Linked DNA regions of Arabidopsis thaliana. The protein of the gene in region 3 interacts with the protein of the main gene of each other region in a pairwise test. Each region holds a gene or a part of one and is shown on either strand. Other genes may lie near its edges.

What was found.
Region 1: the proteins of ARF16 (region 3) and SWAP70 interact in a two-hybrid assay, tested with the Arabidopsis thaliana proteins (one large-scale study listed by BioGRID).
Region 2: the proteins of ARF16 (region 3) and PAP1 interact in a two-hybrid assay, tested with the Arabidopsis thaliana proteins (one large-scale study listed by BioGRID).

What each region holds. Positions count from the first base shown.
Region 1 is NC_003071.7:13,142,042-13,147,880, reverse strand, and holds SWAP70 (Pleckstrin homology (PH) domain-containing protein), read left to right. Parts: upstream 1-1,820; 5' UTR 1,821-2,162; coding exon 2,163-2,186; intron 2,187-2,298; coding exon 2,299-2,406; intron 2,407-2,613; coding exon 2,614-2,675; intron 2,676-2,767; coding exon 2,768-2,851; intron 2,852-2,945; coding exon 2,946-2,977; intron 2,978-3,085; coding exon 3,086-3,167; intron 3,168-3,429; coding exon 3,430-3,658; intron 3,659-3,899; coding exon 3,900-4,127; intron 4,128-4,209; coding exon 4,210-4,502; coding exon of another isoform or gene 4,503-4,506; exon of another isoform or gene 4,507-4,582; coding exon 4,583-4,955; 3' UTR 4,956-5,216; downstream 5,217-5,839. Other genes in the region: AT2G30890 (Cytochrome b561/ferric reductase transmembrane protein family), read right to left, coding at 1-107; GSTF10 (glutathione S-transferase PHI 10), read right to left, coding at 5,489-5,839.
Region 2 is NC_003074.8:5,611,582-5,616,608, forward strand, and holds PAP1 (phytochrome-associated protein 1), read right to left. Parts: upstream 3,223-5,027; 5' UTR 2,628-3,222; coding exon 2,335-2,627; intron 2,124-2,334; coding exon 1,843-2,123; intron 1,751-1,842; coding exon 1,618-1,750; intron 1,399-1,617; coding exon 1,331-1,398; coding exon of another isoform or gene 1,305-1,330; exon of another isoform or gene 1,255-1,304; coding exon 1,220-1,254; 3' UTR 622-1,219; downstream 1-621. UniProt on the Arabidopsis thaliana protein: Aux/IAA proteins are short-lived transcriptional factors that function as repressors of early auxin response genes at low auxin concentrations.
Region 3 is NC_003075.7:14,702,447-14,708,360, reverse strand, and holds ARF16 (auxin response factor 16), read left to right. Parts: upstream 1-2,006; 5' UTR 2,007-2,183; intron 2,184-2,776; 5' UTR 2,777-2,796; coding exon 2,797-3,882; intron 3,883-3,957; coding exon 3,958-4,814; intron 4,815-4,922; coding exon 4,923-4,992; 3' UTR 4,993-5,296; downstream 5,297-5,914. UniProt on the Arabidopsis thaliana protein: Auxin response factors (ARFs) are transcriptional factors that bind specifically to the DNA sequence 5'-TGTCTC-3' found in the auxin-responsive promoter elements (AuxREs). Could act as transcriptional activator or repressor.

The DNA.
Region 1 (5,839 bases), on a different chromosome or scaffold from region 3:
ACTGGACCATTGACATCAATGGCCAAGCTTCTGGTGTTTTCTTGGGAGGAGCATAGGGGAAGGAGGAGGAAGAGGAGAGAGACTAAGAGTTGATGATGAATCTCCATGACTTCATGTGGTTTGAAGTTGAAACAATAAATACAAAGTTTAGAATTGATGATAATCAATTCATGAGTTCATTTCATAAGTATAACTGTTAAAGTTTGTGTGTATCTAGCTCTTTGTAAAGAATTGGATGACGGTATATATGGAACTTGAATACTTGATCCACTAGTTTCTTAGCTATAGATAGAAGAAGAGAAAAGAAAAGAAAAGTTTTAGAATTTGCTTTTAGAGTGTAAAGAAATGTGATAAAAAGAAAAAAAAAAAAAGTTAAGCTCGCAACTTTGTTATATAATATGGTTTTGCATGGAGGTTGATGGTTTATTTTACTAGTATCTCTGAATTTAAATGAAGAAAAGCAAGTGGAGGAATGGGCAATCGATTTGATATAACGAACTTCATTTTTGTCAATCTTAATTAGATGTTAATAATGATGTTTTATATCTAAAAAGGACTATATATATATAATTTGAGTATTGAATTTAATTAATGAATGTAAGAAAAAACAGAAGAATATTCAAGTGGATGTCACTATCTCTGCGACTCTACAGCACTTTTGGTTTTCTATGAAAAAAAAAAGAAGAAACTGAAACTGAAAATTCCTTAAGGTCAGATTCATCCAAAAGTAGAATTTTAATGGACTTTTATGTTTTGTGGAAGAATGTCAGATTTTGCAAGGGAAAGTGAGTCATGGCAGGTTGCACTAGCTCATAGACCACTAACAATATGTTACTGTCAACAAACATCATGATTTCACTATGGAAGGTATACATGAATGACCACATCACATGGATATATATTTTCTTATTTTCAAACACTAATCATAAGAACATACCAAATTTTAGATAAATGGTCAAACTTATAAATGTCAAAAGGTGTCCAAATTCTGTAGTATATTATATAGTAGAAGTTTCTTCTTATTTTGGAGATTGAATATAAAGGAGCCAAAAAAATATGGATTTTGATAGCTTCTTAGACGTTTCATTTAGGAAATATATGCATGGTTGGGTTGATGAGAATGCCATAGAAGTGAAAAACAAATGAGAAAATTCATACAAAAGGAATCTACATACGTAGAATAAAGCAAGAGGACCACTTCACGTTTTGCAGCTTTCCCACTTCAGTTAACCCCAAAATTGAATATTGTCTTGGCTTACATGTCTACTACTCTTTTGCTTTGATGCTTTTCAATCCATTTCTGTATCCCCAACAAGTTGTTGTGTTTCCTCCTCCTATGTAGTTATCAGCGCCTAGCTATTAAGGAAAGAGTATCATCATATCACATATGATTACTCAAATCTCATATATTATTGAATATTATGTTATGTACTTATATCATGTTTCATTACGACCATTAGGGAAGTTGTAGTACATTGAAAATCTTGAAGATTAAGAGAAAGTGTAAAGCTGTGTCTAACGCATCTATGTTTGAAGTCCCTGTGAACTAAGTGTCTAAGTCACCACTACCAAGCGTCGAAGCTAGTACGCAATATTTCACAATCTTGCACACATTTGAGATTAGTTGGGCAAAGTAAGAACTCTGCTCTCTCCTAAACGATTGGCTTGTTACAGCCCGGCCCATTGATGTTCCTTAGCCCATCGTTTATGTAAAGCTTCTCCCTTAACAAAGCCTACCTTCTACAGATCTACTTAATCATCCTCATAACCAAAAACAAAACAAAAGAATCATGTGATGACACCTCCACCGTCAGATCAAAAACCATAAAAATGAAGTGAACAAACAAAAAGTGAGAAACTCAAGAACCGGTTCATTTGACGAGTAAGCTGATCCAGTATCGTACCGACCGGTTAAGTTGATTTGATCGCGTTGAAAGAGTGAAGACAGATTCAACTGCAATTCCGCGAAACCAAACCTAACAGCATTTTTCTCCAATTCCTTCTTCTTCTTCTTCTTCTTCTGTAACCTCGTCTTCTTCAGCTTATACTCATAGCTATACCAAAGAAAACCTCTTAAAACCCTTCTTCTCTCGATCCATCGATCAGCAACAATTCACTTCTAATCGATCAAGAGCTTTCCGATCTCGTCGATCCCAATTAACATGGCTTCCAACGGCGCTTCTCCGGTCTTTTTCTCTCTTGATCTCTGTGTGCTACAATTTAGTCTCTTTCTTTTGGCTGCTTTTCTCATTCACACTCTTAAATTGACCCATTTTGTCAATTTCTGAAAATGCGCAGAGAATTGTTGATGCTACTGAGAACAGCTTGGATAAGATCAAGCGACAATTGGCATCTGGCTCTGGTCGGAACTTGCTACAAGGACCTCTTTTCAAGCGATCTGAAACTGTAAGTCCAATTTTTTTAAGTGAAAATGATCAAAACCAGTTTTTGCTTTATTGATTGGGATTTCTTAGTTAGCTCAAACTAAGAAGACTCTCTGATAGCTCACTATTAGATTTCTATAGCTTAAACAAGTCTTTTGGCCTGAAATGTCTTGGCTTATTCAAAGGTTCACAATGATAATATCTTTTGTTTGTGTTTATGTATGAATAGCTGAGAAAATGGAACGAACGATGGGTGATACTTGATCCAACAACAGGGAAAATGGAGTATAAGTGAGTTATATCAATTTGCTTATGTAGCTGCATTTGTGTGTAGACCACTTCATCATGGTTTTATTCATTTCTGATGTATTTCCATGACTCAGGACGAGGCGAAATGAGCCAACTATCAAGGGAACAATTTTGTTTGACGAAAATAGCACAATCTCCATCTCTCCTGTCAACTTCCAGTATGGATGCTACATTCTTTTTTTTGTTGCTCTGTATAATCATCATTATTTGGTGTCTGTTTGTATCATTGACTTTGTTTCTTTTGTGTTTCAGGGGGCTTCCAAAATATAATGGTTGCTGTATTTGTATCCTTGGTTTTAGTAAAATGTTGGCATATTTATAATTGTTTCTTTTGTCTATAAGGAGATAGTTGATTGGAATCTAGAGTTGAATTTTCTTCAACTTGATATAAGATATTGGTACCCCACAGAAGAAAGATTACTTTTTGTGTGCAGAGACTCCTGGTGCAGCTAAAGCTTGGGTCACAACCTTACAGTAAGTCATCTGGATCTTCATCTTTTTGTTTGCTTCTCTTTCTGTCCTTTTTATTTACTTACCATTCTCTAGAGAAGCCACCCCGCTTATTTCATCTATCTTAAATAATTCATAGTTGTGTTGATTTAATGGTTTCGTCGTCGACCATGTTGAAAGAATCATCTTTCTCTCTCTTTTTACGTTTCTTACTGAAAATGTAATACCTTCTAAATGCCCCTCAAAAGCCAATCTGATAAACCTTATCTTTCTTTGTTCGTTCCAGTGCGACACAGCTAGTTCTAAAGGCCCATAAGGAGGCTGTCGAATCTCTAAGTGGAAGTGGTTCTGCAACACTTGGTACCGTTGCAACCGTTGTTGCCGCTGCCAATTCAACAGCATTGGAATGTTCCAGAGAAATTCAAGCAGCAATGCAGATCTCTTTGAGGAATGCATTGAAAATAACGCCAAATAAACCGATTGATGGACCACTAGATGATTTGACAATAATGAAGGTGTGGTATCTTTGCATCTCTCTTTCTCTTCGAATTTGGGAAACTTTTGTGAATAGCATATTGACATCCTTTGGCTGTTGAGATTCTGAAATGTCAAGATGAACGATGAAAGCATATAGGGACACCTTACAGGAAACTCTGCTTGTCAAGGATGAAAATTAACAGAATTAGCATAAATCTTATTCGTCCATCTTCATTCTAATGTCCAGGTTAACCTTATTGAGCCACTTACATCTTACAGGAAACTCTGCGTGTCAAAGATGAAGAATTACATAATTTAGCCAGGGAACTTCGTTCTCGTGACTCAATGATAAAGGAAATAGCAGATAAGCTATCTGAGACTGCTGAAGCAGCTGTAGCTGCAGCATCTGCTGCTCATACAATGGATGAACAAAGGAAAATCGTTTGTGTGGAATTTGAGCGCTTGACTACAGACTCACAGAGACAGCAAGAAGCCACAAAATTAAAGGTAATGAGGCCATGTCATATATAGATACTTTTGCATCCTTGTGTATGTTTTGTTGTTTATTTGATCTTTATCTCCTATGTAGCTCAAGGAATTGGAAGAGAAGACCTTTACTTTGAGTAAGGAAAAAGATCAATTGGTTAAGGAAAGAGACGCTGCTCTCCAAGAGGCACATATGTGGCGGTCTGAGCTTGGGAAAGCCAGAGAGCGTGTTGTCATACTTGAAGGAGCTGTTGTGAGGGCCGAAGAGAAAGTGAGGGTTGCAGAAGCAAGCGGTGAAGCAAAATCAAAAGAGGCTTCTCAGAGAGAAGCAACTGCTTGGACAGAGAAGCAAGAGCTTTTAGCATATGTGAATATGTTACAAACTCAGCTTCAAAGGTGAGCCTATCTGAATCTATCTCCCAGGGAAACTCATGACTTTTGAAGGGTCATAAATCTCTTTATTTTTGAATAAACAGGCAGCAACTAGAGACAAAGCAAGTGTGTGAGGAGAAGACTGAGTCTACTAACGGCGAAGCTTCTCTTCCAATGACAAAGGAAACAGAAAAGAATGTGGATAAAGCATGTCTGAGCATTTCAAGAACAGCCTCTATACCGGGAGAGAATGTAGTCCATATGAGTGAAGAGCAGGTAGTAAACGCTCAGCCTCCGGTGGGAGAAAACGAATGGAATGATATTCAGGCAACAGAGGCAAGAGTTTCTGATGTAAGAGAAATATCTGCAGAGACTGAACGGGACAGAAGAAACAGCTTGGATATCCCGGTAGTGTCTCCTGAACCTAACGTTCCACGCAATGATCCGCCTTCCGAATCATTTCATCACCAGCCTTGAATAAAGATTGGTAGATCTTCGTACATTTTAATATACTCTTTGATGGTCTGGTAATGTTTGGAGAGTTGATTCTTCTAACAACAAAAAGAATTTGTCTTTTTAGTTTTCTTGTACATTCAAGAGTTGTTATGTATCTGCCGCTCTTGAATTTGTCTGACTAGGGAATGATTCTTTTTCCCTTTTATTACAACATGAAGAACAGAGAGATATGTGTTAAACTTTGACTTATGTTTTTGGATTCATATAAACCAGTTTTCATATAAATGCAATCCTTCAACAAACCACGATGGTTGTGATGTTAGTACCAGTTTTATCAAAGACCTACACTGAATAGAGGAATATACATGGGTTGAGTCACTCTGATTTTAAACTCTTATTGAAAAGCTTGAAAAGTTACAGAATACAAGAAACCAGAGACAACAAATGAGACAGAGTTCCGTTTCTTATTGAAACAACAAGACAATCGACCCGAAAACGAACTCCCTCAAAGAACACAAAGCTCACACAAACCCCCCAAGTCAACATCTCCTTGTTTAAACAGGTAGTGAGTACTTAGCGGAAACCTCCTTCCACGCAGCACGGCTACTAATCTTATCCCACCAAGCGCTAACATGCTTCCTATCTTTGATCAAATGAGCCTTCCCAATAGGACCAACAAGATACTCGGTGAAAGGAAGGTGAGCCAAATCAGCTAGACTCACAAAATCACCAGCCAAGTATTCGTTCTTAGAAAGCTGAGCTTCATAGACATCAAGCACTTCTGCAAGCTTCTCTTCACTCTCCTTAATAACTTTCTCATCAGCAGGGAAACCCATAAGTGGTGCAAAGACAATGTTGAGCGTTAAAGCCAATAGTGGTGGATGGTAACTTGTAGCCTCAACGTC
Region 2 (5,027 bases), on a different chromosome or scaffold from region 3:
AAAGTTAGTATGTAAATATATCTTTAGGTTCCAAACAATGAAAATATAATAAGTGGTGCGCAGGGCCGGTTCAAACTTTTTGAAGACCTTTTGCTGATTTATAAAAACTGACTTTAGTTAATATTGGTTTTTAATTTCTGTAATTTTTGGACCCTAAAACCTTAAAGAAAATTGAAAAAAAAATTGAGGACCCTGTGCTTTTGCTCCTCTAGCACTCCCCTAGAGCCGGCACTGGTGCGACATTTTGCAACAAATGAAACAACGGAATTTTCCAACTCATTATGTTGCGGCTATCGCTTTACATATGTTTCGAAAATGTTTCTTTTTTGGTTTGGTTAAAAGTTAAAACATATACCATTATTTAGCTACCAAAAAATGTTATTATCAAACTATTTGGCTGCATCAATTTCAATGGTTATATTGTTTAACCACAACACTCATCTGGTAATGAGAAGGACAACTTCGAATAAAATTTTTAAGATGAATACAAGTCGGCCAAGTGATGCTTGTGGTATGAATATATTTATCACGAAAACAATGTGCTAAATTAAACATATCTATAGTGATGTTTTAGTCGATCCACCAAGACACTGTCCAATAAGTTACAATGTGTATGTATGATTTAAAAAGTCAGGATAAAAAGCTGCTAAATTCTGCACCTAGAAGAACAAAAGAGATGATATAGCCACCAAAATTATCACGACATGGACTGATCTCATTCTGAAAAGTCTTTTTTGAGTTTTCAACTTCCAATCTTATCTTCTTATATACATGCATACTCAGGTTAAATAGTAAAAACAAGAAGAAAAAAAAAGACAACAACAAAAACAACAATAATGGCCTTTCATTCTCAGCTTTTTACATGATTAAAGGTATAGCCAAAGTTGGAAGGAACAAAAGTTAAAAGAGCTTTTACAGAGAATAAAAATTTCATCTTCTTTTTTCAAAAAGAGTTTTGCAGACATGCATGAGATAATTATTACAGTATGTTCTAATTATCTCCTTAATTAATTAAAATGCTTATAAACACAGATTGCTTATGTAATCTCATCGTCTAGTGTCTTGAAGACATGGGAATATCAGATCAGATCAAATGTTTCTCTGGACCAAAAAAAAAGTAAAAAACCAATGATTAACTCTTATATATAACAAAAACCAGATGTACATTTATAAAGCTTTGAGACTCTCTGTCTGAAATAAAAGTTTCTAAAAAGACTCTTCAGTGCATCATCTTCTCTTGCTTACTGCATCCAACTGCAAATATACAGAGGAACCCTTTTAATCATATAGCTCTAATAAATCATCTAAACATATAAGAACAGAAGCTTACATGTCAAGGCAGATGAAATCTCAGAGCTTTTAATCACACGCAGTCTCTTCACAGATGAAACAAACATTCTGTGTTTAAAAACAAAGATTAAAGATCAGTTAGTATGCAAAAAAAGAGGTATAAACAAATCTCCAAGCAAAATTCTATTCTTTAGGTAAAGAATTATCAATTTGAATTACTACTACTATTGATTAAAAGCTGAGAACTTTTGTTGTTATATGATCAAGAATCTAATTCTGCAAAACACTGAATCAGATTCAGAGAACAAAAGGGGAAAAGATTCTTACTGCCATGGAACATCCCCAACAAGCATCTTGTCCCCTTCATTGTCTTCATAGGTTAAAGTAAATTCTCCTTTCCCATCTAATAATCCAATGATAGGTTTCTCTTCTCCTTGACCATCAGAGATATCTCTTTGAGCTATAAACCAACAACATACACAAATCATACTCAGTAAACACAAGTAACACTCCTAAAGAACTAAAAAACAGAATTTGAGATTAAGATTTAACCTGCGAGTAGACCTCTGAAGAGTTTGTCAACGACAAAAGAGAGCTGTTCGTAGCTGTTGTAAGCATTGAGATCAACTTTACGACCAATAGGAACACCATCCATGTTGATCTTGACAAACATTCCTTCCTTCTTGGTTTCAACTTGTTTTTCACCATCATCACTCTTGTTGATTTGACCTCCATGAGAGGATTCGTTACCTAGCTTTGAAGAGCTTGTGCTCGCTAGATTCTTTCTGAACGAACGAACCGGAGGCCAACCCACCACTGGACCAGGAGCAGTTCTTTGAACCAGATATCAAAAGAAACAAGAGACATATGTCAATACCAAACGACAAAAACAGAGCAAAACAGAGTAAATGTTGAAACTTTTAACATGTGAAGGTAAAAAAAAAAACACAGATTGCAGAAGATGGGTCCCTAATGTTCAAGAGAATATCCTCTGTCAAAGCAGTAAGAAAAAATAACAGTGAAGGAAAAAAAAGGAGATTATACCTTTTCTGTGAGATGTGAGGAACAGAAGTGGTTTTGTTGGAAGGAGAGAAGTGATTGCCATTAAAACAGTGGAAAGATTTGTCTTCTGTTTCCTTCTTGATGTTTCTTATCTCTGTGTTCTTCTTCTTGATTGCTGAATGATCTTCTTCATCACCACCGGGTGGTCCAAGCCTTAGCTCAAGTTTCTTCTCCTGATCTGTGTTGTTCTTGTCTTCTTGGTACCATTTCCTTCCTTGTGGAATCAAATCAAGAAGTTTTGGACCGATTTCTCTGTTTCTTGGACAACCTTCCATTGATCAACCCAAGATTCCTTCTATACGTTAACTATGTATGAAATTGAAATCTATAGCTTCACTAAACCCTAAGAACCCCTTTTAAAGAAACAATCCCACAAAACTGAGAGCGAGAGAGAGAAAGAGAGATGTGTAATGAAGGTATGGTAAGAGAGCAGTGGTGGGATTTTATACAAAATCAAAGCTTTTTTTTTCTCTCTCTCGTGCACGCTTTGGTGGGTTCTCTCTCACACAGCCTTACCTTTTTTTCTTTCTCAATTTGTTGTTCTCTCTCTCTAAAGATTCTGAAAGGGACGAGAAGAGAAAAAATAGGAATACAAAGAAAAGGAAATTTGGATTTGTATGAACAAAAAAAAACTCAGAAAAAGGTAAAGCAAAGTAGAGTGACTCCACTTTTACTCCTAAACCCCAAAAGTAGAAATGAAAACTACAATAAATTTACAGATTGCATACCAAGAAAAACAGTAATTGTTCTTGACATGAAAAGAGAATACTGTGAAAAAAAAGAAGTGGGTTTTAACGTTTTTGGTTTTAGGAGTTCTTTTGTGGAGTAAAACACACGCAACCTTGTCTTTTTTTCTGCCTCAAATATCGCTAATTAAGGGTTTGTCTAGTAAAAGAAGCAAAGCGTGCTGTTCTGTTTCTCACAAGTATACGAATTAGAAAAATAATTAAATGCGTAATTCCAATAAACAACTTGACCATTAAAAAAATACTAATAAGAGTAATTAAAATATGATAACAATAAAGGAACTAAGGGAAGATCCCATAATTTATGGTCTGTTTTTAGGACCACTCTCTTATCCACTGTCCATAAGACACATATCCCTATGCTTTTCTAAAAACATTTTTCTATAGGTCGTCATGGTAATTTGATACTTTAATAGTAATACTACCATTCTACAAAGATATACATAAAGCAAATAATAAATGAACATCATGGGAAGATCAATTGAGAGAATTCAAGAAATGGGTGAGGCATTGTATAAACATACGAATCTGCATGGCGTCTCAGTGAGATATATGTAATTATTTATTTATAAATTTGCCACACAATATGTCAATTTGTTAGGTAGCTAAACAATTATTTTGTCAAAAGTTAAAAACAATGTGTACGTGTGGATTACGATGGTATAATTTAATTTGCTTCCCCAACCAAGTAAATAGTCAACTGTTTGTTTGTTTTTCCTAATCAAAAATTTTCTTTTCTCAAATCTACAAAATCAACATATTTTGATAAAAATAACAAAAGAAAAGACTTTAGCAGAAACAATTGTAGTTGGTCCTTTGATCTTAAAAAATGTACATAATTTTGCAGCGTAAATCAAGAACATATTTCAAGTTTTTCAACCAAAGATTGAAGCTATTTTATTTGGTTTTTCAGGAGGGGGAAAAGAATGTACATGTCTCTCCCACGTACGTGTGACACCGATATTACGATAAAGCCGACGTAGAAAAATCTCGAGTGAGAGTTCCGGTCAAGTAAGGAAGGGTAATTTAGGAAATTGAAGAAGGAGTGTGTCTCTAGTCATATCTTGTCGCCGTTTTACCCAACTCCGTGACTTTCTTCCCTCACTGTCAGACAAAACCTTAACCATGGTTAACATAACCTGAACCTCTCCGGTTTAACTTAACCGCACTAACTAGATCCGCACAGACAAACTAGACAGTGGACACATGTTGAAGTTGCACAAGATTTTGAGATCGTACGATAAGGTTTAAATTTGGGCTTTAATCAAAGCCGTAGAAGTGAATAGAGATATAGCAAATGTGACGGCTGTGATTAAAAGAGTACAAAGCAAAGCATCCGATTAAAAAAGTAGCCGACTCAGGAGAAAAGGAACAAAAAAACAACTCGTGAATTGAATGTCATATCAAGGGAAATAAAGAAAAGCAAGTGAGAATAGTGGTGGTGTCAATGATGCTCTTCCTAGAATTTTCACCAAGAAATAAAATTATTTTTATCCACTCACTAATTTTTTTAGTGAACTAAAAAAGGAGTATATGTAAGAAATTGATATCATTTTAACAAAATAAAAAGAGGAATAAAAGAAAAAATAATCCAAATATGGATAAGGTCTGAACTGATCCTCTAGTATAACTGGCCCATGAAAATCACGCTGAAAATGAGCCCAATTGTTGATCATCAATGTTCATGAACTTCATGCCTTTATGGAAAAATGGGTTGACTATTGAGTTTTGACTACTAATACTAGTAGTTTTGTGAATTTATCACATATATAATGCAAGTTTCTTAGAGTTGAATGAAAAAAAATCATGCCTTGCATATTTGATTGTACTCCTTTCTTCAAAATTTTGTTCATGTTTTTGGGTGCTTGTATTTGCATATTTAGAGTAGACTATAGAAAACTAATTTTTTTTTTTTTTTTTCTCATCTCT
Region 3 (5,914 bases):
AAAACCATAAACCCAAATAATTGAATGGAACAAACAAACTAAAATGTATAAATTGAAAAATAAAACAAGCAAGAAATATTGGCGAGCATTTCCATTTCCGTCATGTCTCGTTGCTGTCTATAAATAATTTTTTCTTTTTAAGAAATTTGTTTCGTCCAGTTCTCGCAAAATCCCAAATTGTGGTTTGCCAACCCCTAAAAATATAACATGATTATTAGTAGATTGAGTTCACATGCCCAAGTTTTTCCAAAAGTTAGCCCAAATCTAAATTACATTATTAACGACACTTGTGGTCATGAGGAACATCGATAAACATAGAAGGTGTAACCACTAAGGAGTATTACATGCAAATGTGGTAACCAAAATCTGAAGGAATAATAAGAGGACAATTAGATCAGATCCGGTGGTTTAAGATTCAAATACCGAATTTGCCCTTGTGACATGTAAATTATTACTGGATTAACATAAATGGAGACACACGTAATAACTATTGACAAGGAAAGTATGTGGTATTGACCAAACAACACACATACACAGACACACTTCAAACTTAACCATGGTTACTCACACGTGATATGTCCTCCGGTTAAATATGTTTTCATTATCATTGTTAATTATTATTTTCTTATTATCACATTCCCATATATTAAAAGATTTTAGTGTTATCTAAAATAATTTCAGATTATAATTTCAGTTTCATAATTCCAATCTTGAAAATTTTGGTTCTTATACTTGTGTATATAATTGGATATTGGATTTTTGTTTACGTATGGCCTAGATCAAACTCTTGGTATTATTAATTGGAAAGCTAACTCTTACGACAAAAAAATACAATGACACATGCGGAAATTTATTGAGCCTTGCTACGATCATGTAGGATTGACATATGTATGTCGTATCTCTATCTTATTTGGATATATAGGGTATAGTCATATCAGAGAAATTTTCTAAAATGTTTTCTTAGGATCCTTAAATTATATTTTAAAAGGATTATCTAAGTCTCCTGATTTCCTATGAATTGGTTCGCAACCTACGAAAAAACTATGGGATCAAAAGCAAAAAATTCTAAGTTTTTTTTTCAACTTTGGTAAATTTTAACATAAATAGTTAGATGTTTATCTCCCTTCATTCCTTTTTGAAACCAATAATTTTAATCTTCCTTTCACTTACCATTTAGAAAAACACACGAAACTATGTTTTTTGTTTTTAAAAATATGTGTACCTCATATATATGCTGCATGTACAGCCTTTATACGTCTATATGCAGTTGTGTATTTCATATAATTATACTATACAAATAGAACATAAAATAGAACTATAGTTATTTACAACACAATATATATATATATATACAGCTGTATAATGTATTTTAGAATACTAGTCTGGGCCAATCAAACGGGAATATAAAAACCCGAGGTAGAATTTTATTTTTACATCGTTTAAACACAAAGAAAGATGGTTAGCAACAGCAAATTGCTTACATGGTTATCAACAAAATATCGTGTTTCGTAAACAATAAGTTAAAAATAATTCAATGAACTATTGGGATTATCAAATCAAACTGTAAAAATTAGTTTATTCAAAGAACAATTAATGGCTGAGTTAATTAGCTTGCCTTGAATTGTTAAATAATTAGATGCTTCTAATCAGATTTCAAGGAGATATGTCGGAAGCACCGACGACACGTGCGGATCCGTCACGTGCGCGATTCAACTCTTTAACTCGTATGTCGATATTTCTTTTTTTAATTCTCTTCTTTTTTCACACTCCATATTGTCGATTTTTATGCCCGGAATCAAGGGTTTGACTTACCAAATTGTTACCTTCTTTTAGGCTTAAAATTTATTACACTTAAAATAATCCGGATTAATATTTTCTAAAAAATTCACTAACTAGAGAAGAAATAATAATAAAAAAGACATGTGAAAGAGTTAATGAAAGTTGAGAAAAAAGAGATAATATTATTTTTATTTTATTTTTAGTTTTGTTTTTCTGCAGAAGAGCCAAAGCTCTTTCCTTCATATATACGAACCCCTTTTTCCATTTTCTTTGTGCAAAAAGTGTAACCTTCCTTATCCGATTCTGAAGCAGAAATTAGCTGCAGAATCTTCAGATTCTCTCTATACCTAGATTGGTTTTTCACAGAATCTTCGCTATTTTGTTCAGATCTGCCACTGTTTCAGGTTTGAACTAATTTTACATAAATTTTCTCTCCTAATCTTTCTCTGTTTCATCTTTGGTTTTCTCAATCGATTCGATATGAATTTGATTTGGTTTAGCTTGATTCGATTTGATCATCATGTCTAACTAGTTCTATCTAACTTTGTTAGTTTACTGTTCTTTTGTGTGGTTCTTGTTCTTACTTCAGACCGATCTATGTTTTTTTTGCTTTGTCTGCTTCACACAACACAATCGTGAGCTTGCTCTTATGAAAATCTAATCTAACTAAATTTTCTTAATTTGTGGTCTTTTTAATTTCATAATGGATTAATAAACTAAATATCCTCAAAACGTTCTTGAAGTTTTATAATTTGTATTTTTTGTTTTCTCCGGAGATTTGGTATTTGAAATCTTCTTACTATCTGAAATGACCCTTTTTGTCGGTTTTTCTTGAATCTTTTTATTTATTTTTATTTTCCGGGAAAATTTCGTTTGTTAGGTAAAGTTGACTGATACAAAGGACTTGAGTTGCTAAATAAAAAGCATTTGTATTGTGCTTTTGTTTGGTTACTCTGTTCTCAAACAAAAGCTGATACATTTGTATTTGTTGTTGCAGCAAAAACGGTCACAAAAAATATGATAAATGTGATGAATCCAATGAAAGGTGGAACAGAGAAAGGTTTAGATCCTCAGCTATGGCATGCATGTGCTGGTGGTATGGTTCGTATGCCTCCTATGAACTCTAAAGTCTTTTACTTTCCTCAAGGTCACGCCGAAAACGCTTACGATTGTGTCGATTTCGGTAATCTCCCTATTCCTCCCATGGTTTTGTGTCGTGTTTTAGCCATTAAGTATATGGCTGATGCTGAATCTGACGAGGTTTTCGCTAAACTGAGATTGATTCCTTTGAAAGATGATGAGTATGTTGATCACGAGTATGGTGATGGTGAAGATAGTAACGGTTTCGAGAGTAATAGTGAGAAAACGCCTTCGTTTGCTAAGACTTTGACTCAGTCTGATGCTAATAACGGTGGGGGTTTCTCTGTTCCTCGTTATTGCGCTGAGACGATTTTCCCGAGGTTGGATTATAACGCCGAGCCGCCGGTTCAGACCATTCTTGCTAAGGATGTTCATGGTGATGTTTGGAAGTTCAGACATATTTATAGAGGGACGCCTCGGCGTCACCTTCTTACAACCGGATGGAGTAATTTTGTAAACCAGAAGAAGCTTGTGGCGGGAGATTCGATTGTCTTCATGAGAGCGGAGAATGGAGATCTTTGTGTAGGTATTAGGAGGGCTAAGAGAGGAGGGATAGGTAATGGACCCGAATATTCAGCGGGTTGGAATCCGATCGGTGGAAGTTGCGGCTACTCTTCTCTGTTAAGGGAAGATGAAAGCAATAGTTTGAGGAGAAGTAATTGTTCCCTTGCGGATAGGAAGGGGAAAGTGACGGCTGAATCTGTTATAGAAGCAGCCACTCTTGCTATTAGCGGAAGACCGTTTGAGGTTGTGTACTATCCGAGAGCTAGCACTTCAGAGTTTTGTGTCAAGGCATTAGATGCTCGAGCTGCCATGCGGATTCCGTGGTGCTCAGGTATGAGGTTTAAGATGGCTTTTGAGACAGAGGATTCGTCTCGGATAAGTTGGTTTATGGGGACTGTTTCAGCTGTTAATGTCTCTGATCCTATCCGTTGGCCTAACTCTCCTTGGCGGCTTCTACAGGTAAACAAACACTCAAAATTTTCTTCTAGCTCAAGTTAGAATATAGACTCATAGGTTGCATTTTTGTGTTTTCAGGTGGCGTGGGATGAGCCAGATTTACTCCAAAACGTGAAGCGAGTTAACCCGTGGTTGGTGGAATTGGTATCAAACGTACATCCGATCCCGCTTACTTCGTTTTCGCCACCGAGGAAAAAGATGCGGCTACCTCAGCATCCAGATTACAACAATCTGATCAATTCGATTCCAGTACCTTCATTCCCAAGCAATCCCCTTATTAGATCAAGCCCGTTAAGCTCTGTTCTGGACAATGTTCCCGTGGGTTTACAGGGAGCCAGGCATAATGCTCATCAGTACTACGGGTTATCATCTTCGGATCTTCACCATTACTACTTGAATAGACCACCTCCTCCTCCTCCTCCATCCTCTCTCCAACTTTCTCCTTCTCTCGGTCTCCGAAACATCGATACCAAAAACGAAAAAGGATTTTGCTTTTTGACAATGGGAACAACACCATGCAATGATACCAAATCTAAAAAGTCCCATATTGTATTGTTCGGCAAGCTTATACTACCCGAGGAACAGCTATCAGAAAAAGGCTCAACGGATACCGCAAACATAGAGAAAACGCAGATTTCATCAGGCGGGTCGAACCAAAACGGCGTTGCGGGAAGGGAGTTTTCTTCGTCAGATGAAGGATCACCTTGCTCTAAGAAAGTTCATGATGCATCAGGTTTGGAAACAGGGCATTGTAAAGTGTTTATGGAGTCAGACGATGTAGGTCGAACCTTAGACCTATCGGTTCTTGGTTCATACGAAGAATTGAGTCGGAAACTCTCTGACATGTTTGGAATCAAAAAGTCTGAGATGTTAAGCTCTGTTCTCTATAGGGATGCATCAGGAGCCATCAAATACGCAGGAAACGAACCTTTCAGGTACATTTTTTTATTATAGACAAGATTGTCATATTTTTCGTACTATTTTGATGATGAAGTAAAAGAAAACATCTAATAGTTGTTGGTGTTTTGACTCATCTTTGGCAGTGAGTTCTTGAAGACAGCTCGAAGATTGACAATTCTGACGGAACAAGGAAGTGAGAGCGTTGTAGTATAACTTGGCAGAGTGTTTTGTTGGAGCTTGGAAGTCAAAACTCAACGATTGAATCTTTTAAGTTTTTTTTTTCTTTTATTTGTTTATTTTAGTTCCACTTTTTTGGATTATGTAAGTTTCAAAATGCAATTCACAATCTATTTGCAAATAAAATAGGTTCTTCTTCCCTTGAAAAGCTTCATTGATCAAATAGGGTATAAGAACCAAAGTCTAGACGGCAAATTATGATATGTTTGTCAAAGTCACTTCAATTTGTCTACAAATTAGTGATGACACGCATAAACCAATAGGCCTCAAACATGGTTGCATTGCTTACTTTGATTCATTATGTAATATATAAAGTGATTTTTCTTTAAATATTTCATTATTTGTTTCTTGGGATCAATAAGTTGTTGAGAGGTATGAAAAGTAATAAAAATCTGGAAGACAATTAGTTAGGGTGATGCGAGGGTCATGTCTCTAGGCACATGCACAACAAACAACGGTCGGATCCTATGTTTGACAAAACACAAAGTCCTCAACACCTAAGTTAAGTTGGATCTCCCACTTTTCATTTATAACTCAAAACTATATATATATTTAAAAGATTTTCAGATTCCAATGTATACACAACGAAAATTCCATATCATCTTCAACCTACTAATTATAAATGTACAACGAAAGTACTCTATATTCGCTTCTCGGTTCTCAAAGTCAATGAAGTTCTAAACTCACTTTTTCTCTGCTTATTTAATGTAAAAAGACCAAAAGTTCTAGCCCTTTTTACTTTCTAGTCTTTAATCTTATATAAAACCATACTCACTTTTTCTGTTCCAACCTAATGTCCTATAATGTTCCAATCTCAAGTCTTAATCATGATAGATTTGTAAAAATGTTTTTGTAAAATGACTTGTCCACTCTCAGACCTAATCTGACGACGCTTCTA